2 linked regions of the Arabidopsis thaliana genome follow. The protein of the gene in region 2 interacts with the protein of the main gene of each other region in a pairwise test. Each region holds a gene or a part of one and is shown on either strand. Other genes may lie near its edges.

Evidence for each region. Proteins that work in one complex are often made in the same cells at the same time.
Region 1: the proteins of AT4G16100 (region 2) and AT3G56320 interact in a two-hybrid assay, tested with the Arabidopsis thaliana proteins (one large-scale study listed by BioGRID).

Annotation. Positions count from the first base shown.
Region 1 is NC_003074.8:20,885,394-20,893,117, reverse strand, and holds AT3G56320 (PAP/OAS1 substrate-binding domain superfamily), read left to right. Parts: upstream 1-3,314; 5' UTR 3,315-3,622; intron 3,623-3,815; exon of another isoform or gene 3,816-3,899; 5' UTR 3,900-3,968; exon of another isoform or gene 3,969-4,164; intron 4,165-4,410; 5' UTR 4,411-4,493; coding exon 4,494-4,739; intron 4,740-4,823; coding exon 4,824-5,003; intron 5,004-5,092; coding exon 5,093-5,185; intron 5,186-5,290; coding exon 5,291-5,473; intron 5,474-5,551; coding exon 5,552-5,654; intron 5,655-5,753; coding exon 5,754-5,936; intron 5,937-6,011; coding exon 6,012-6,493; intron 6,494-6,583; coding exon 6,584-6,925; 3' UTR 6,926-7,224; downstream 7,225-7,724. Other genes in the region: AT3G56340 (Ribosomal protein S26e family protein), read left to right, coding at 70-154, 259-392, 732-809; AT3G56330 (N2,N2-dimethylguanosine tRNA methyltransferase), read right to left, coding at 1,185-1,289, 1,383-1,445, 1,534-1,834, 1,928-2,128, 2,237-2,868; AT3G56310 (Melibiase family protein), read right to left, coding at 7,373-7,624, 7,719-7,724.
Region 2 is NC_003075.7:9,102,682-9,110,547, forward strand, and holds AT4G16100 (heat shock protein, putative (DUF789)), read left to right. Parts: upstream 1-2,971; 5' UTR 2,972-3,127; coding exon 3,128-3,448; intron 3,449-3,719; coding exon 3,720-3,931; intron 3,932-4,360; coding exon 4,361-4,589; intron 4,590-4,702; coding exon 4,703-4,788; intron 4,789-4,881; coding exon 4,882-4,973; intron 4,974-5,060; coding exon 5,061-5,305; 3' UTR 5,306-5,478; downstream 5,479-7,866. Other genes in the region: AT4G16090 (uncharacterized protein), read left to right, coding at 397-453, 535-1,284; AT4G16095 (RNI-like superfamily protein), read left to right, coding at 1,866-2,282, 2,410-2,556.

The DNA of each region.
Region 1 (7,724 bases), on a different chromosome or scaffold from region 2:
ATTTCCCGGTTCTAGATTTGTCTTAAGATTGAAAATGTATCGATCTGGTTTTGGCTCTCTTGTTGATAGGACAAGGCGATTAAGAGATTTATCGTAAGGAACATTGTTGAGCAGGCTGCTATTAGAGATGTTCAAGAAGCTAGCGTCTACGAAGGTATGTGTTGATAGATTCTTGTTATGCATTGTTAATTGTGTATTTGGAATTTTGTTTTGAGACTTCAGAGTGTAATTGGTTTTGTATTTGTATTGCATTGGTAGGTTACACTCTCCCAAAGCTTTACGCTAAGACGCAGTACTGTGTCTCGTGTGCTATCCATTCTCACGTTGTGAGAGTCCGATCCCGCACCAACCGTAGAGTTCGTACCCCACCACCTCGTTTTGCCAGACGCAAGGTAACCTCTCAGTACAATGAATCCATTCGTGTCCTTCAGCAAATTTGCTTAAATCAGTCTTAGATAAAAGGTCTTGGTGGCATTTTGATAATAATGGTTTGAAAGGTGAATTGGTTTGAAGCGGAATTATGTAGTTTCACTTTCTCCAAATACAGCAATTATATTCGAATGTGAGCTCGACACTGTATCTCATTGTTGTAGTTGTTTCATATGATTGTTGTCCTGTTCCAAACCGTGACACTTTACATGCTACGTTTTGTTTTGATGGTGAATGTAGCTTCTTTAATGTTATGTTGCAAGCTTTTTTTCTGAATTGTCTCAAAAATGATTAATTCTCAGGAGGATACACCCAAGCCTGCACAACCTGGTCAGGCTCCTCGCCCTGCCGGTGGTGCTCCTGCTGCTCCTCGTGCCTGAAGACTTCAAGAAGCTGGCAATCCGAAACTTCTTATATTCTAGTTTCAATCTCTCTTTTGTCTGAAATTTTTGAAGATGTTTTCTACATTTTGTTAAAGATGATTTCGCCATATTGGAGCTTTAAACGTTTCAGACCATTTTACCAGTTGATTTGACCAAGATTTTTCCTCTTTTTTGATTTTTGCAACTTCATACCTTCTTTTCAGAGAAATATTTAATGACCGAAGCTTCGCTCGTTCTTAAGCGATGCTAAGTACTTGTATCTCCCTACTTAGCATAAAGCAACAAATAATATAGTCGAGTGTTGGGTATGATTGCTTTGTAAAGTATAATCAGAGGCTTAAAAAAATCTCTAAACTTGATTATAACAAAAAGTTAACTATGCAAATTTTCCTTGGCAATCCTAACAAAATGGGACATGGGACAATCTGTTTTAAGAGCATTGGGAATAATGTGAGATCTGCTAGCAGCGTAACCCTCCTGCAAAAATCCAAGGAGCAGAGCTTTTTAACTTTGTACCTTCAGATCAGTTTCTTCAGAGATCAAAGCTGTGAGAATCTAACTACTATTTACCTTAACTAGTGCACTCATCATCTTCTTCAACGGAGGTGAGTTCATCTTCGCACGGCTCGCCATCTAATCACGAAAACAAATCTTTTATCATGTAATGTGAATGAAATGCGTCTATCTTATCAATGAAATTAAAATCATGGTTTTAGAGGACCTCATCCATTTTTGTGTATCCAGGTGGTAGTCTGGGATCACTTTCTTCAATCATTATACTGAGAAGCTTGTCCAGATCCATGCCAGTGCCTTCACTGACCCATCCCCATTCCTTTGCCAATTCCAGCATTTCCGTAACATAGGATGCATCATGAAGCGGTCCGAGCCACATTGGTCCTGACACAACCAGTGAAGAAGAAGCCTTTGTATCACTGCAGGGACATCCCATCAAACCAAGTTCATCGAATCTCAATGTATGAGAATGGCCACATAGATTACAGTGCGTGACAAAACCATAGTTCCTACAGTTAAAAGACACAAAACAACTCCAATTAGAAACGCAACATAACCAAAACTCAATTCCTTTCGAGTCAAATTCTAAATGTAGAAACAACCTGTCCTCATGTAGCTTCCCACGGTGAACCCTCAGCATGACTCTAAACACAGGTCCGTGATAAGAATAGTACGAGAAAAGAGGCGTAACATGATAACCAAGCAGAGCAGCTTCTCTCACTGCTCCACCTATAAGCATCCGCAGCCCAATCTCATTCCCAAACGGCATTGGTCGAATAAATGCTCCATAAGCTGCTAAAGAACTACACCAAAACAAACCAAGAAATTTTTCAACTTTCAATCTCCTAGTCCCTAAATCATATCATGATTCCTAAAATACCACAAAGACTAATGGTATTGCTTTCACTCACTTATAAGGTCTGTGACCACCAGAAGAGTAACCATCAGTCGACGTCAAGTAAAGCAAACCACCCAATCTCAATGCATTAAACGCATCTCTCAAAAACGAAGAATCACTTCCAAACGAATCAATATCAATCATATCGAAGAAATCCGCAACCATATATCTCTCAATCATCGCTTTATTAGCCAACATATGAGTCACAACCCATCTCCTCTCATCTCCAGTACCTCTCTCTACTTTACTCAAATTATCCGTAATCACTCTCCGATTATCATCATTTGCGTCGTTCGCCATCACGAAATCAGCTTCAGCTTCCACAAGATAACGAAGCGACCTAATTCCACATCCGCACATTGCGTCGAGTACCCGTAAGCTTCCATTAGATCTCTTGTATAGCGTCGCTGACAAAACACCGAGGTCTCGTCCTCTAGCGCTTTCATGGCGGAAAAATGTCTCTCCCGTTTCAAATTCGAGATTCCTCTCAATTTGAACCTCGGATTTCACTAAAATTCGATCAAAACTACATTTCAAGCTCTTGAATCGACATGAATCTGGAGATTTACATTTAGGGTTTTGCGATTTGTGCACAGTGAAGAAGGAAGAAGAAGATAGGGTTTTAGGAGAGAGAGTCAACAACATAGCGGGAAAAAAAAAATCTGATTGTTTTGCTTGATTTTTTTTTTTAATCGTCTATCTAAATTAGTCCGTCCGATATTATGCCACGTGTACGGAAGAGATAAAAACCTCGTATTAGTAGGCCACGTCGTCAATCTTATGATTAGTTGGGTCCCACTTGTGTAATCGTCTATACTCGAGTCCACCTAAAGATACGATACACTTTTTTCCCTTTCATGGAATTGAGTTTCTACTGTTTCTGGAATTCTGGGTTTTGGAATTTGGAGAAATTAGGGTTTTTGTTGAATCATTCAAAAACATTGACCATGAAGATCATAGAGACTAAGAGTCTCCAACAAGAATGAAGAAAATCTATTTTTTTTCTTGGGTTGAAAATTATTTGAGAGGAGCAGGTGAAGTTAATTTTTTTCTCATTGATACAAAAATGGCAGATTGTTTTAGAGTCTCCACTATTATGAACCTTCCATAATTTTTTATTTTATTTTTGCTTATATTATCCCTTAATTTTTTGTCTTGGTGATAATTCTCTTTCTCCCCTCAATTAAAAAAAAGTTTATAGTATCGGTTTCTCTTCTCCTGATCAATGAATACAAATCGGTATTCGTAAACAATCCCTTCCGTTTCATTTTACTGACTCATATCTGTTTTTATCTGGGTTTTTATTTCTTTTCCCCTTTGTGTTTCAAAAAAGTTTTTGGTGTAACGTTTATTATCCATAAGATCCAAAAAAAACTAAAGCTGGAAATTTTGTTTCGAGGTGAGATAATCTTTGCTTAATCTTTAGGAATCCAATGAATACAAGCTTAATTTGCCTCTTAATCCTCGTTATCGGAGAAAGCAAAATGATGTTTCGTGTGAATCTCGTTTTTTGATTTTTGGGGTTTTCTCTTTTGTCTTAATCCATCTTCGTGGTCCTTGTGAAGCTTAAAGATGAAAACCAAAATGTCATATTTTTTTTCGTGTGAAAATGTCGATTCGTTACAAATCTTAAACCCTGTTCCAAGTTTTGATTTTTTTTGTTTGTTTGTTAGCAGGAATTAAAGCTTCTTGAATATTCAAAGATTAGCCCAAAGAATCTCTGGACAACTGGTCTAAAACCGCAGGTACGCCTTTCACTACTTAAACCTCTCAATTTTGTCAACAAAAAAAAATGATTTTGGAAGAGACAGAGCTGAGACTTCTGAGCTAATAGTCATTTTTTCCTAAGGTATAATCATCACTCACGCAGGATAGTTTAGCTGTTTTGTTTTGTTTTCCTTTATAAATATTCGATTTTGCTCTGAGAAGCTAAACATTAGGGTACCTACCTAACACTGAATTCACTATTGGCATGCTCTGTTTCATTTTTTTATGTCTCTTGCTTAGGATGTAATCTCACTCACTCTCTGGATTAGCCTCGATTGTTCTTAATCAAATTTGGGAGCTCTAGTTATTAGACAATCAACTTTTACCTTGACTTCATTTTTTTCTTTTTCTCTGTCTAATGTGATGACAAAAAGGCCAATTTGAAATATTTTGTAATTCTGTTTGTTCTGTTGTTTGTAGATATCATAATTATATAAGGGGCTCATTGAGTTGTTGAGGATTCCTGTGTTATCACTCTGATGTTAGTTTGAAGTTATGCGCACATGGGTGAAATTCAAGAAAGATTGTCAGTTTCATCATCTTCGTCTTCTTCATCATCCTCATTGTCACTATCAACGGCACTACCTAAAGGAGATTCATTGCCGATAGATGCAGATTCTTGGATGATTGCAGAGGAGAGAGCTCATGAGATACTTTGCACTATCCAACCTGCCCTTGTTTCAGACAGAAGTAGGAATGAGATCATTGATTATGTACGAACTCTTATCATGAGTCATGAGGGAATTGAGGTTAGAAACTCCGCTTCTCTTTGCTGACATGTTAAAGATTTATGCTGTTTTGTTAACTTTCTATGGGAACTTGTTTATCTACAGGTCTTTTCATTTGGTTCAGTGCCACTAAAAACCTATCTCCCGGACGGGGATATCGATCTGACTGTCCTAACTAAGCAAAATATGGATGACGATTTTTATGGACAATTGTGCAGTAGGCTTCAGAATGAAGAAAGAGAATCTGAATTCCATGCAACAGATGTTCAGTTTATCCCTGCACAGGTCTCTTTGTTTATTTACTTTTTGGTTTCGTTTTTGTATTTTCTTGGTTGCCCAAATTTTCCTTAAGAAAGTTTGCTGATATATGATAGGTCAAGGTCATAAAATGCAATATCAGGAACATTGCTGTTGATATCTCTTTTAATCAAACGGCAGGTCTCTGTGCTTTATGTTTTCTGGAGCAGGTACTATCAGCTATTCAAAATCAGGCTCCAGAGGTTTACTAAACAGATTATTGCCTAGCTTTGATTCTTAGTTGTTGGTTAAACTCTGGTTTTATGTATTCTCAGGTTGACCAACTCTTTGGGAGAGATCATCTTTTCAAGCGTAGCATCATCCTTGTCAAAGCTTGGTGCTATTACGAGAGTCGAATTCTTGGTGCTAACACTGGATTGATCTCAACATATGCATTGGCAGTACTAGTTTTGTACATCATCAACCTGTTTCATTCATCTTTATCTGGCCCTTTAGCGGTAATCACTCTTTTTCTGAACCTTCAGCATCCTCTACATATATGCAAAAGATGAGAATATAGCATTGTCTTTCAACAGGTTCTGTATAAGTTCTTGGATTACTATGGTTCATTTGATTGGAACAACTACTGTATCAGTGTCAATGGTCCTGTGCCAATATCGTCCCTTCCAGAACTTACAGGTAAGGATGATGCCAAAAATCACAGATACTTCTCTTCGTGGCATTTTCTTGGCGCTATTTGACGTTTTAATTTGGTTCTTTCTCTTTCTATCTTTCCAGCAGCATCTCCAGAAAATGGGCATGAGTTATTACTTGACGAGAAGTTTTTAAGAAACTGTGTAGAGTTATATTCTGCTCCAACTAAAGCTGTTGACTCAAATGGTCTTGAGTTTCCTATCAAACATCTCAACATAGTTGATCCTCTAAAATACAGCAACAACCTCGGCAAAAGTGTTACACAAGGTACTCTATTGATAAAAGTTATACAACCAATATAGCAGTTGTCAAATATTAATTATTTTAAAAACATTTTGTTAGGAAATGTCCAACGAATAAGACATGCTTTTACACTTGGAGCTCGAAAGCTAAGAGATGTTCTTTCACTACCTGGTGACACCATGGGATGGAGATTGGAGAAGTTCTTTCGTAACTCTTTGGAGAGAAATGGTAAGGGACAAAGGCAAGATGTGAATGATCCCGTTACTGCTTTCGGTACTGGAAGATCAGAATTATCTGAACTTAGTGGAGATTTCGATAGTTCCTTTGGAAGACTTGTGTATGGGCAAATGTATCATGGGCATAGCTTACCTGGAACATTTCAGCATGGCTATATCCCGGTTAGTTCTCACCTGAGTGGTTGGGATATTGTTCGTCACCTTGTGACTTACCGAAAGAACGAGTTCCATCTTAGAAGTCTCAATGTATCAACCTCTATGCAGCCTTTTCCTTTGCATTCTTTACCTAATGGCTGTCAAAACATGAGAAAGACGAGAGGAACCGGCACTTATATTCCTGACATGGTATGCGATTAACCCCTTTGACGGACATTTTGGCTTAAAAATTAACTTATTGCTGCAAGCTTCTGAATTGCTTCTCAATGGTTGTTGCAGAGTCAACAGGTATACTCTGACAGGTTCAGAGAATCAGGTACTGGAACCTCATCAACGAATCATTTAGAAGCTTCCTCTGAGGCAATAGACAATGATGGAGCCAGTAGTTGCTGCAATCTTTCCGGTGAAGTGTCTACTTCTTGTACCAGTAACAAAGGAGAAGAATGTGTGAGACCAGAGAGTGTGCTGAAATCTCAAAGATCTGCGAATTTGGAGCTTGATGACAATTGCCAATTTCCACCACCAGAAAACCTAGTAGAACCTAGAACTTCAAGCACATTGGTATTGGAAAATGGCAAAGAAGAGAGTATCAGATCCTCCCAAACCATGAACGGCTCTTGACTTTTAGTGACTGTGACCGAAGCTTTGGTTGTTATCTTGACACCTTCAGGATTACTAGGTTCTCTTAACCACATGGACAAACTCTATTTAGTATTCAAAACTCTATATAGGATTCAAAAGATCCATCAGGAACTTGTTTTGACCAATGTTTCATTAGAGATCTCTTCTTCATTGTTGGTAGGTCAGAATATACAAAAGTGGTATAGATTAAGAGTTGATTTGGCATTTGTCTTTTCTTTGGAATCAAGATCCTTCAGACTTTTTATCTAAATTTTTATATGAGATTCAGTTTTACTTCTTGTCACTTCTGGCAATTTGTTTAGAGAGTGACAAACATTTAAAGTTGTCCGGGTAACAACAGGTTTCACGTTTTACAAGATACACGAGTATACAGAAACACAAAGGCAATCTCTGTTCTTTGGGATTTGAATGCCTCACAATAAAGAACTATACATCAGAGTGTGATACTGTCTGGGGAGTGAGAACGTACATATGACAGTCGTGTGCGTCAACTTGAGCTTCAAAGGAGCCAGAAGTATTCTCTGTTACATCTTTGTGCTGCCACAAATCTCTTACTGAAACGCTAATGGTAGATTCAAGACCGATCATATCCCATGATGCTGTAATAGTTGCTGGCTCAGAGCAACGGTTCCAGAGAGCAACTACCATACGGTCACCAGATAAAGGTCCTGACCACACCTGCAATGAAACAGTTATCACCAATTTGAGTCCTTGAGTTTGTTTTTTCTGCTTTCTCTATGAGTTTGATAATTCTGTGACTCCCAATTCATACCTGCTG
Region 2 (7,866 bases):
CGAGAGCAAGTTTGTGGAGAGAGGACTTGGAAGAGAATCTGAGAAGCAGAGACGACATAGCTTTGCGTTGATAGTGAAGAATCAAAAAGAAATAAAGAAAGGGTTTTCGAGTTAGTCAACCAAGAAAGTCCCTTCTTGACTCGATCTAAGACCAAAGTGCCTGGCCACAAGAATAATGTCTCTCTCGTTTTTATCTTTGTTTCCACGTTTCTCCACATTTCCTTTTTCCCTTATTATATAATCTTATGAAAATGGAAACGAAATATCTTTGTTATCAAATTTGTGCACAAGATTCTTTACTTTGCACCAATTATTTTTTCTTTACTTTTCCTTTGATGACCTATGTGAAAACCCTTTTGTTTCTTTTTGATTTTTTCACATATCAAAGCAAAAGCTATGTCGTCTCTGCTTCTAAGCCTCTCTTCCAAGGCCTCTCTCCGTAAACTTCCTCTGGTAAATCTCTTCTAGTTTTTGTATATAATCTCTGTTTCCTTCGTCTTCTTCTTCTGATGTCTATTTCTTACTTTTCACCAGAGATGCCACACTCTTCGGATGTTTTCCTCCTCTACCACCAACCCTTACTTGTTGTATCGTGTCATAAACTATGGAAGTTCTATGGATGATATTCATGTAACAAGTAATATCCACTATTTTGACCCGGTGAAGGAAGATGAAGTTATTGTCCGAGACAAGGTATTACCAATGGAGTTGCGTAAAGGGTGTCTGGTCGGAATGTCCCATGGTTGGGGAGTTTTCAAGGCCGTGTGTGATTATAATGAATATAAAGCCATATATGTTACTGACTACTACAATCCATGTGGCTCCAAATCTGTCAAAAGCATTCCTTTGCATCCCCTTGGTAAACCTATAGCTATCCAACAACAAGCTATCACTAACGCCGCAATGACTTGTTCACCTGATCAAAGCAAAGATTTTGCAGTTGCTGTCAAGTGTTTAGGACCTATGATCAATTTCAATAGGCCTGGTGGCACACACAAGGACTCGGGTTCGGTCATCTTTAAAACCCCTTTTCAATATTTTGATCAATCAAAGGTTATGTATTCAAAGAGAGATGAAAAGTTCTACACTCCTAGTTTTGGAGGGCACTTCTTGGTTTTTTGGGATTCTTTCTTCGGAGAGGATATGACCGGCTCTGAGTTGGTTGAGTTGCGGTTTTGCAACGTTCCTAAGTTGACCCAGTCCGAGTGGGAGCTCTTGGACTCATGTTCCAAGACTGTATACCTTGTGGAGTCTCCCTCAGGCCAACGTTTCCTAATCAAGTAGTACGCTCAGAACCACCAACCAGGTGATTCGATGACATTCCTGTGTCGCGGAACAAAGCGTTTCATGGTGTTTAGAGAGCTGGAAGAAGATAAAAGGACCATGTGTTACACGGAGGACATTGGAGATCTCTGCATATTCTTAGGCAATAATGAGCCCTTTTGTGTCAAGGCAAGCTCATTCCCTGGTCTAAACCCTAACTCCATCTATTTTGCAGGCGATGGCTTCGGTGTTTACGATATCGCCACTAGAAAACCACGTTCCTTCCGTCCCAAGTCTCCCTCAGCCTTCTCGTCAGCATCACTCCTCCCTTACTGGATCCCTCCAATGTCTCTTTAGTTTACTTGTTCTTCACTAGTCATGTTCTGTAACTTTTGTTTTTTATGCTTATAATTGTTCTTTTGCGAGCCCTTGGACGTTGGCCGCCATCTTCATACGAGTTAATAAATTTTGGTGTGAGGAAATATACGAGTCAATTTATGAAACGAAGGTAGTAACTTTCGTAATTCCTTTTTTTTTTTTTTTTTTCTCTGGTTGTATGAATCATTCATCATCGATATCTTATACTTTTGTATCATGATCGTATGGATCATTCATCATGGACCTTGAGGGGTTACTCAATAGAGAGCAGTAGTGTGGAAGACCTTCTTGGTATGACTAAGCTCAGAACTCTCACGGTCCATTCCCTTGATGGTTGTACGTTAGAAACTCTGTCTGCATCTCTCTGTGAATCGAGAGAACTCGGGCAGCTTTCATTGTACGAGGTCATGCATGATAGGCATAATGAAGGAAAATTAGTTCTTGATTTGATTCAACTCAAATTTTTAACGGTGGGCATGCATATGCCTAGGTTGCCTGATCAACATCGATTCCCTCCAAACCTTACGAACATATGTCTTCGGTATTGTTGCATGGAAGATGATCCAATGCCGATTCTAGAGAAGTTGCTCCACTTGAAATTGGTTGAATTATCATATGGTGCTTTCACTGGGAAGAAGATGGTGTGTTCAAAAGGTGGGTTTCCTCAATTGTATGAGCTAAATTTATGATTTGGAAGAGTGGATAGTAGAAGAAGGCTCCATACCATGTCTCCATACTTTGACTATAAATGAATGCAGAAAGTTGAAGGAGCTTCCGGATGAGGTCATATACATAACATCCTTAAAACAACTGACAATTGGAGGAAGGAATAGTGAATGGGTGTGGAAATTGTCTGAAAGAGGACAAGATCACTACAAAGTTCACCACATTCCTTGTGTTCAGTTTATTTACTAGACCTTTGTCTAATTTTATGTATAAAAATTATAACAATGTAGAAAACTACAACACAAATGAGATCAAATTCTGATTTTTAAAATCCGGTTGTGATGATTATTAATCGTGGAAAAAAATCAGGGATTATAACTTTTGTTAAATTGTGAACGTACAATATTGAACTGAAAATGCCAAATGAATTGGTTATTATTACTTTGATGAAAATGAATTGATCGTTTAATTTTTTTTATATTTATAACAAAAATGCGATATGCTCTTTTTAATTCTTTATTTCTATTTTTGCTTCAGAATTTTTTTTCATTTTATTTTTGGTCAAAAAGGTTATTAATTTCCTTTTCAATTTGTACGAATTTAAACGGTGACGTTTTTGTTTAAATTATCAAACAAATCAAAACAAAATCAATAAAATCTAATCTCTCATCATGAGGCATCTTTGACTGCTCTTTAATTCACTAAAAAAGTCTAAAACCCTAACCATTGCCCTTTTTCAAACGAAGAAGAAGAAGACGAAACGCTACCATCATCTACACACACACACCCAACTACTTTTTTCCATCGCCGGCCTGTACAAATGTCGACTACCCGTAGGATCCGCGGCGAGAATCGGTTTTATAACCCACCTCCGATGAGAAAACTTCAACAAGAGCGTGAGAAGAAGAGACTTGAAGCGGAGGAGATAGAGAAAGAGAAGAAGAAGGCAAAGGAGATTCTCGATCGAAAGATTAAAGTCGAGGAGAAGGAGATTAAGCAACCTGAGGAGTGCTCGACCTCCGATTGCTCTGTGCCGAGTCGGGTCTCCTCCACCACCACCACCACCGGAACTACTTCTTCCAATTTGGGCCGGTTTCTGGATTGCACCACTCCAATTGTTTCTACGCAGCACTTGCCTTTGGTAATTACTCCGATTTTGAAGTTTTACTTGAATCGACGACTTGGGTTTGGGCAGTTTTAGAATGAGAACATTAGCATCAAGCGTTGAAAATGGGAACTTTTTATCAATTCTTGGGAACGATTATGATCTCAGTCTCTTATTGAAGATAGAATTGGTTTCAGGTTTTAGAATTTATCGCTATTTAGGATTGTAGATTTGAGAAACAGATTCAGTTAGTAGAACAATTGTGATGTTGTTGTGGTCAGTCATAGTTTCTGTGTTTTTGCTTCAGACAAGTAGTAAGGGGTGGAGAACTCGTGAACCAGAGTACCGTCCCTATTTCTTGCTGAATGATTTGTGGGATTCATTTGAGGAATGGAGCGCCTACGGTGTCGGGGTTCCTCTTCTTTTAAATGGGATCGATTCGGTTGTTCAGTATTATGTTCCTTATCTCTCTGGTATTCAGCTTTATGAAGACCCATCTAGAGCCTGCACAACTAGGAGGTGAGTTCTTACATTCTGCTTATATTTTTGATTGTTTCCTATCAACCATTAGCAGTAGTGATCGGGTTCTTTGCTCGTTGATTGGTTCTTCTTCTGATAGAAAAAAGGATAGCAGTTGGCTTTTTTGTCAATTTATATATTTTGAGATGAAGCCACTTCTTTCTTGGGTTGTTCTTAATCTTCGGATGCACGTTCTTTAGGAGATAGGAAAACCAACTTCTAAGCGTTCTCTGCTACAATATCTAGAGATATTCATTTGGATGACTAATACACAACAACTTTTATGCTCTCAAATACTAGTCAGTGGTTCAAGTTTATCATGGTGTTGAATTCCAAATTTGTTTCATCTCGTTGGTTTTCTCTTTAATTCCCAATTCGTTTCTGCTTTCTAGAGTAAAATTCGTTGTTTTGATGTTTGTTCTTAAACAGGAGAGTTGGTGAAGAAAGTGATGGTGATTCGCCTAGAGACATGAGTAGCGATGGGAGCAATGACTGTAGAGAGCTTTCTCAAAATTTATACAGAGCCTCTTTGGAAGAGAAACCTTGCATTGGTTCATCGAGTGATGAGAGTGAGGCCAGCAGTAACTCTCCTGGTGAACTTGTCTTTGAGTATCTTGAGGGTGCTATGCCATTTGGCCGTGAACCATTGACCGACAAGGTATGTTTATTATGTAATTAAAGTGGCTCAACTTCTCACATTGGTGTTCAATTTCATAGCCGGCGAAATTGTTCTGTCCTGTGTCATAATAATGTTTAACCTTAATATTGCAGATCTCAAACCTGTCATCACAATTCCCAGCACTCAGAACATACAGAAGCTGTGATCTATCACCTTCGAGTTGGGTCTCTGTTGCTTGGTACTGCATCTAACATGTCCCTTCCACATTTTCATGAGTATATTTTTTCCAATCACTCTCTATAAATATTGATTTCTTCTCGCATTCTTGAAGGTACCCAATATACCGAATACCATTAGGTCAATCGTTACAAAACCTCGATGCTTGCTTTTTAACATTCCACTCGTTGTCAACACCCTGTCGAGGTAGGCCTGCTCTGCATATTTAAAACATAGTCTATACATGGGCTTATTAGAAACATCGCAAATCAACTCTTGTATTACTGGTAAAAGGTACAAGCAATGAGGAAGGTCAAAGCTCAAGCAAATCGGTTGCATCGGCGAAGCTTCCATTGCCCACTTTCGGTCTCGCATCCTACAAGTTTAAACTGTCAGAATGGAGCCCAGAGAGTGACGTAGACGAGAACCAGAGAGTCGGGACGCTGCTACGAACAGCTGAAGAGTGGCTCAGGCGGTTGAAGGTGATTCTACCGGACTTTAGACACTTCATATCGCATAGTGGTTCGGCGTGGAGATGATGATATTTAGAGTCATTTTCTAAACTCTAAATAAGGAGAGTGATATATAGCAAAAGTGAAATATCTTTCAGCTACTTTTGTTTGTTTTGTTGAAGGAAAATGAGAATCTGTATAGACACTGATCGTACATTTGTTTAATTACTGGGAAAACTTATGTAATTGAAACAGTTTGGAAAAAAAGAAAAAAAAAGTTGGTCGAAGAGAGTTTCTTCTGCTTTATGATCGTTATAGTTTCGTTATTGTGTATAATATATGAATGTGTAGACTGTGAGCGATTTGTATTTAAGTATAAGTAAATGATTAGGGCTTTAGTAACAAGATGCTCTCGTAGCTCAGTTGGTTAGAGCACCCGTTTAGTAAGCGGGAGGTCTTGAGTTCAACTCTCAACGAGAGCATTTATTTATTATGTGTTGCTCATATTTATCTTTTTGTGTGTGTATACTACTATGTGTTTTGTCTTGAAGAGTTGCGTATGATAATTGTTCCACGTTAACGTACGGCCTCTTTTCTTCGGACAAGACCGATGACACCTCAACCCCAAAAACATTTTTGCTGTTTACACAAGTGATATTTAGATATCTTGCTTCACTTAATTTTATCAATTGCCGACACTTGTATTAATATTGCTAATTATCACTTAATTATTAATTGCCAAAAACACGATTTAACTGCTCATTCACGTGAATATTTGATTACTCAAAAGTACTATTTAGATGTGTAGAGAGAGTCGATTGACAAAAAAAAAAAAAAAAAAGATGTGTAGAGAGAGTTCAATGTCGATAATTGCAAATAACGTCAGTATTCCTAAAAAAGAGTTGGGTCAAAGATGGTTTCAATTGGCTAAAGAAGTGGCTGGTTTCACATGCGACACTTACATTTTTCAAATAATGTTATTTAATTCTTATCCACTTACCATTAACACGTTGCATCACAGGGAAGCTCCTCCGCAAATTGACTCCACACCAACTATCAATTTTGTGGTCACTAACTTTGAGAAACAAGACTTTTAAATTACAGGAAATATTTTTTTTTGTAATTGTTTTACCAAAAATAAGTTGCATAAAAATTGGTATCTATATATATATGAATACGTTATACGTCTACGGATTAGACCAAGTAAAATTTTAGAACTTTTGTATGCGTGTTATGGATATGGTATAGAAATATATTTTACAAATAATCAAAGTGGTTAACTTTATCTTTTGTAACTTAGATATAATTTGAAAAACTTTCAGTTATCTTACCAGGTTGTATTCCAATAAGCAGGGATAATCTATATTTTTTTTTAAATGTAACTAAATATTTTACTTAGTATTTGTGGCTAAAGAAAAAAGGTTGACGAGTAATGTTGTATAGTGGAAATCAAACATAGGAGGAGATCCACCAATATCACTTATCAAAGTGCGTTGTTGCCACTTTTCCCCAATACTATTGGACGCGTTACAAACAAAAAAAAAGACATATGTGAATCATATGAATGTGTCTCTAAGGTTTATTGTTTCCTTTATTATAAGGTTTCGACCAGGCAAGTGGCAATGCAATTGTGCACTTCTTTTTGTTTCGTTTCCTTTTTCTTTTCCTTTGTCTTATGCTTGCTTAATAAGAAAAAGTTAAAAATGAAAACAGGGTGATGTTCGATAAATGACCACTAAACATTTGGTATTGTCAAACACAACAAATTGTTTTACACTTTAATTAGTTTCAAGGGCCGAATCTGGTGTAATCTCTAAATGTTATCAGAACAATCATCGAGGGGAAGAGTTGCTGACATTATATGACTTTACTCGTGAAGTCTTTTGGGAGGCGTTTGTAGCGATCTTGATCCAAAGTCACTTAAGTTAAGGAATTGACTTTCACCTAAATGTTAGTATTTTTCTTCAATTTAAATGGGGCAAGTTTTGTGATCGGTTTAAAGAACTTACCAAGCTGGAGTTAGTAAACGATCTACAATTGATCCAACTAAAGGAAGTAATTGTTAATGGCTATGAACATATGAAAGAAAGGTCGAAACCCGTAAATCAAGGTTCGAGTACGGATTAACAAACGAGTGGCTCGGATTTACGAGGAGTGACTCGGATTTAAGGCGAGTGATCTAAGCCATGGATCAAGATTCATATAAAGTATATATAGACTTGAAATGATCTTAGCTGATAAACCATATTCTATACTTTTAAATCTAAATTTGCTTCATAATCATAACTGCAAGAATTAAAAAGTAATTGGTATATTTTAATTATGGGATTTTGTTACAAAATATATGGTCAAATCGCTGATGCATATATATAGTTCAAAAAAAAAAATCTAATGCATAAATTGTTTAGAAAAATGTATAAGTGCATGGAAGGAAGGCCACACATTTGATCTTTTACATGCTCCAACTAGATCAGTAACTTCTAAAGCAAACACCACTCTATTCAGCTTCTAGCTATGCAAGAATTTGTTGCTATTACCTATTGGGGGTTATACCTTTCTAATATTTTTGTTAACGATTAAGTTTACGAGCGAATACACATGTGTACGTACATATATGATATATACTGTCAACATATAAATAGTTGTGT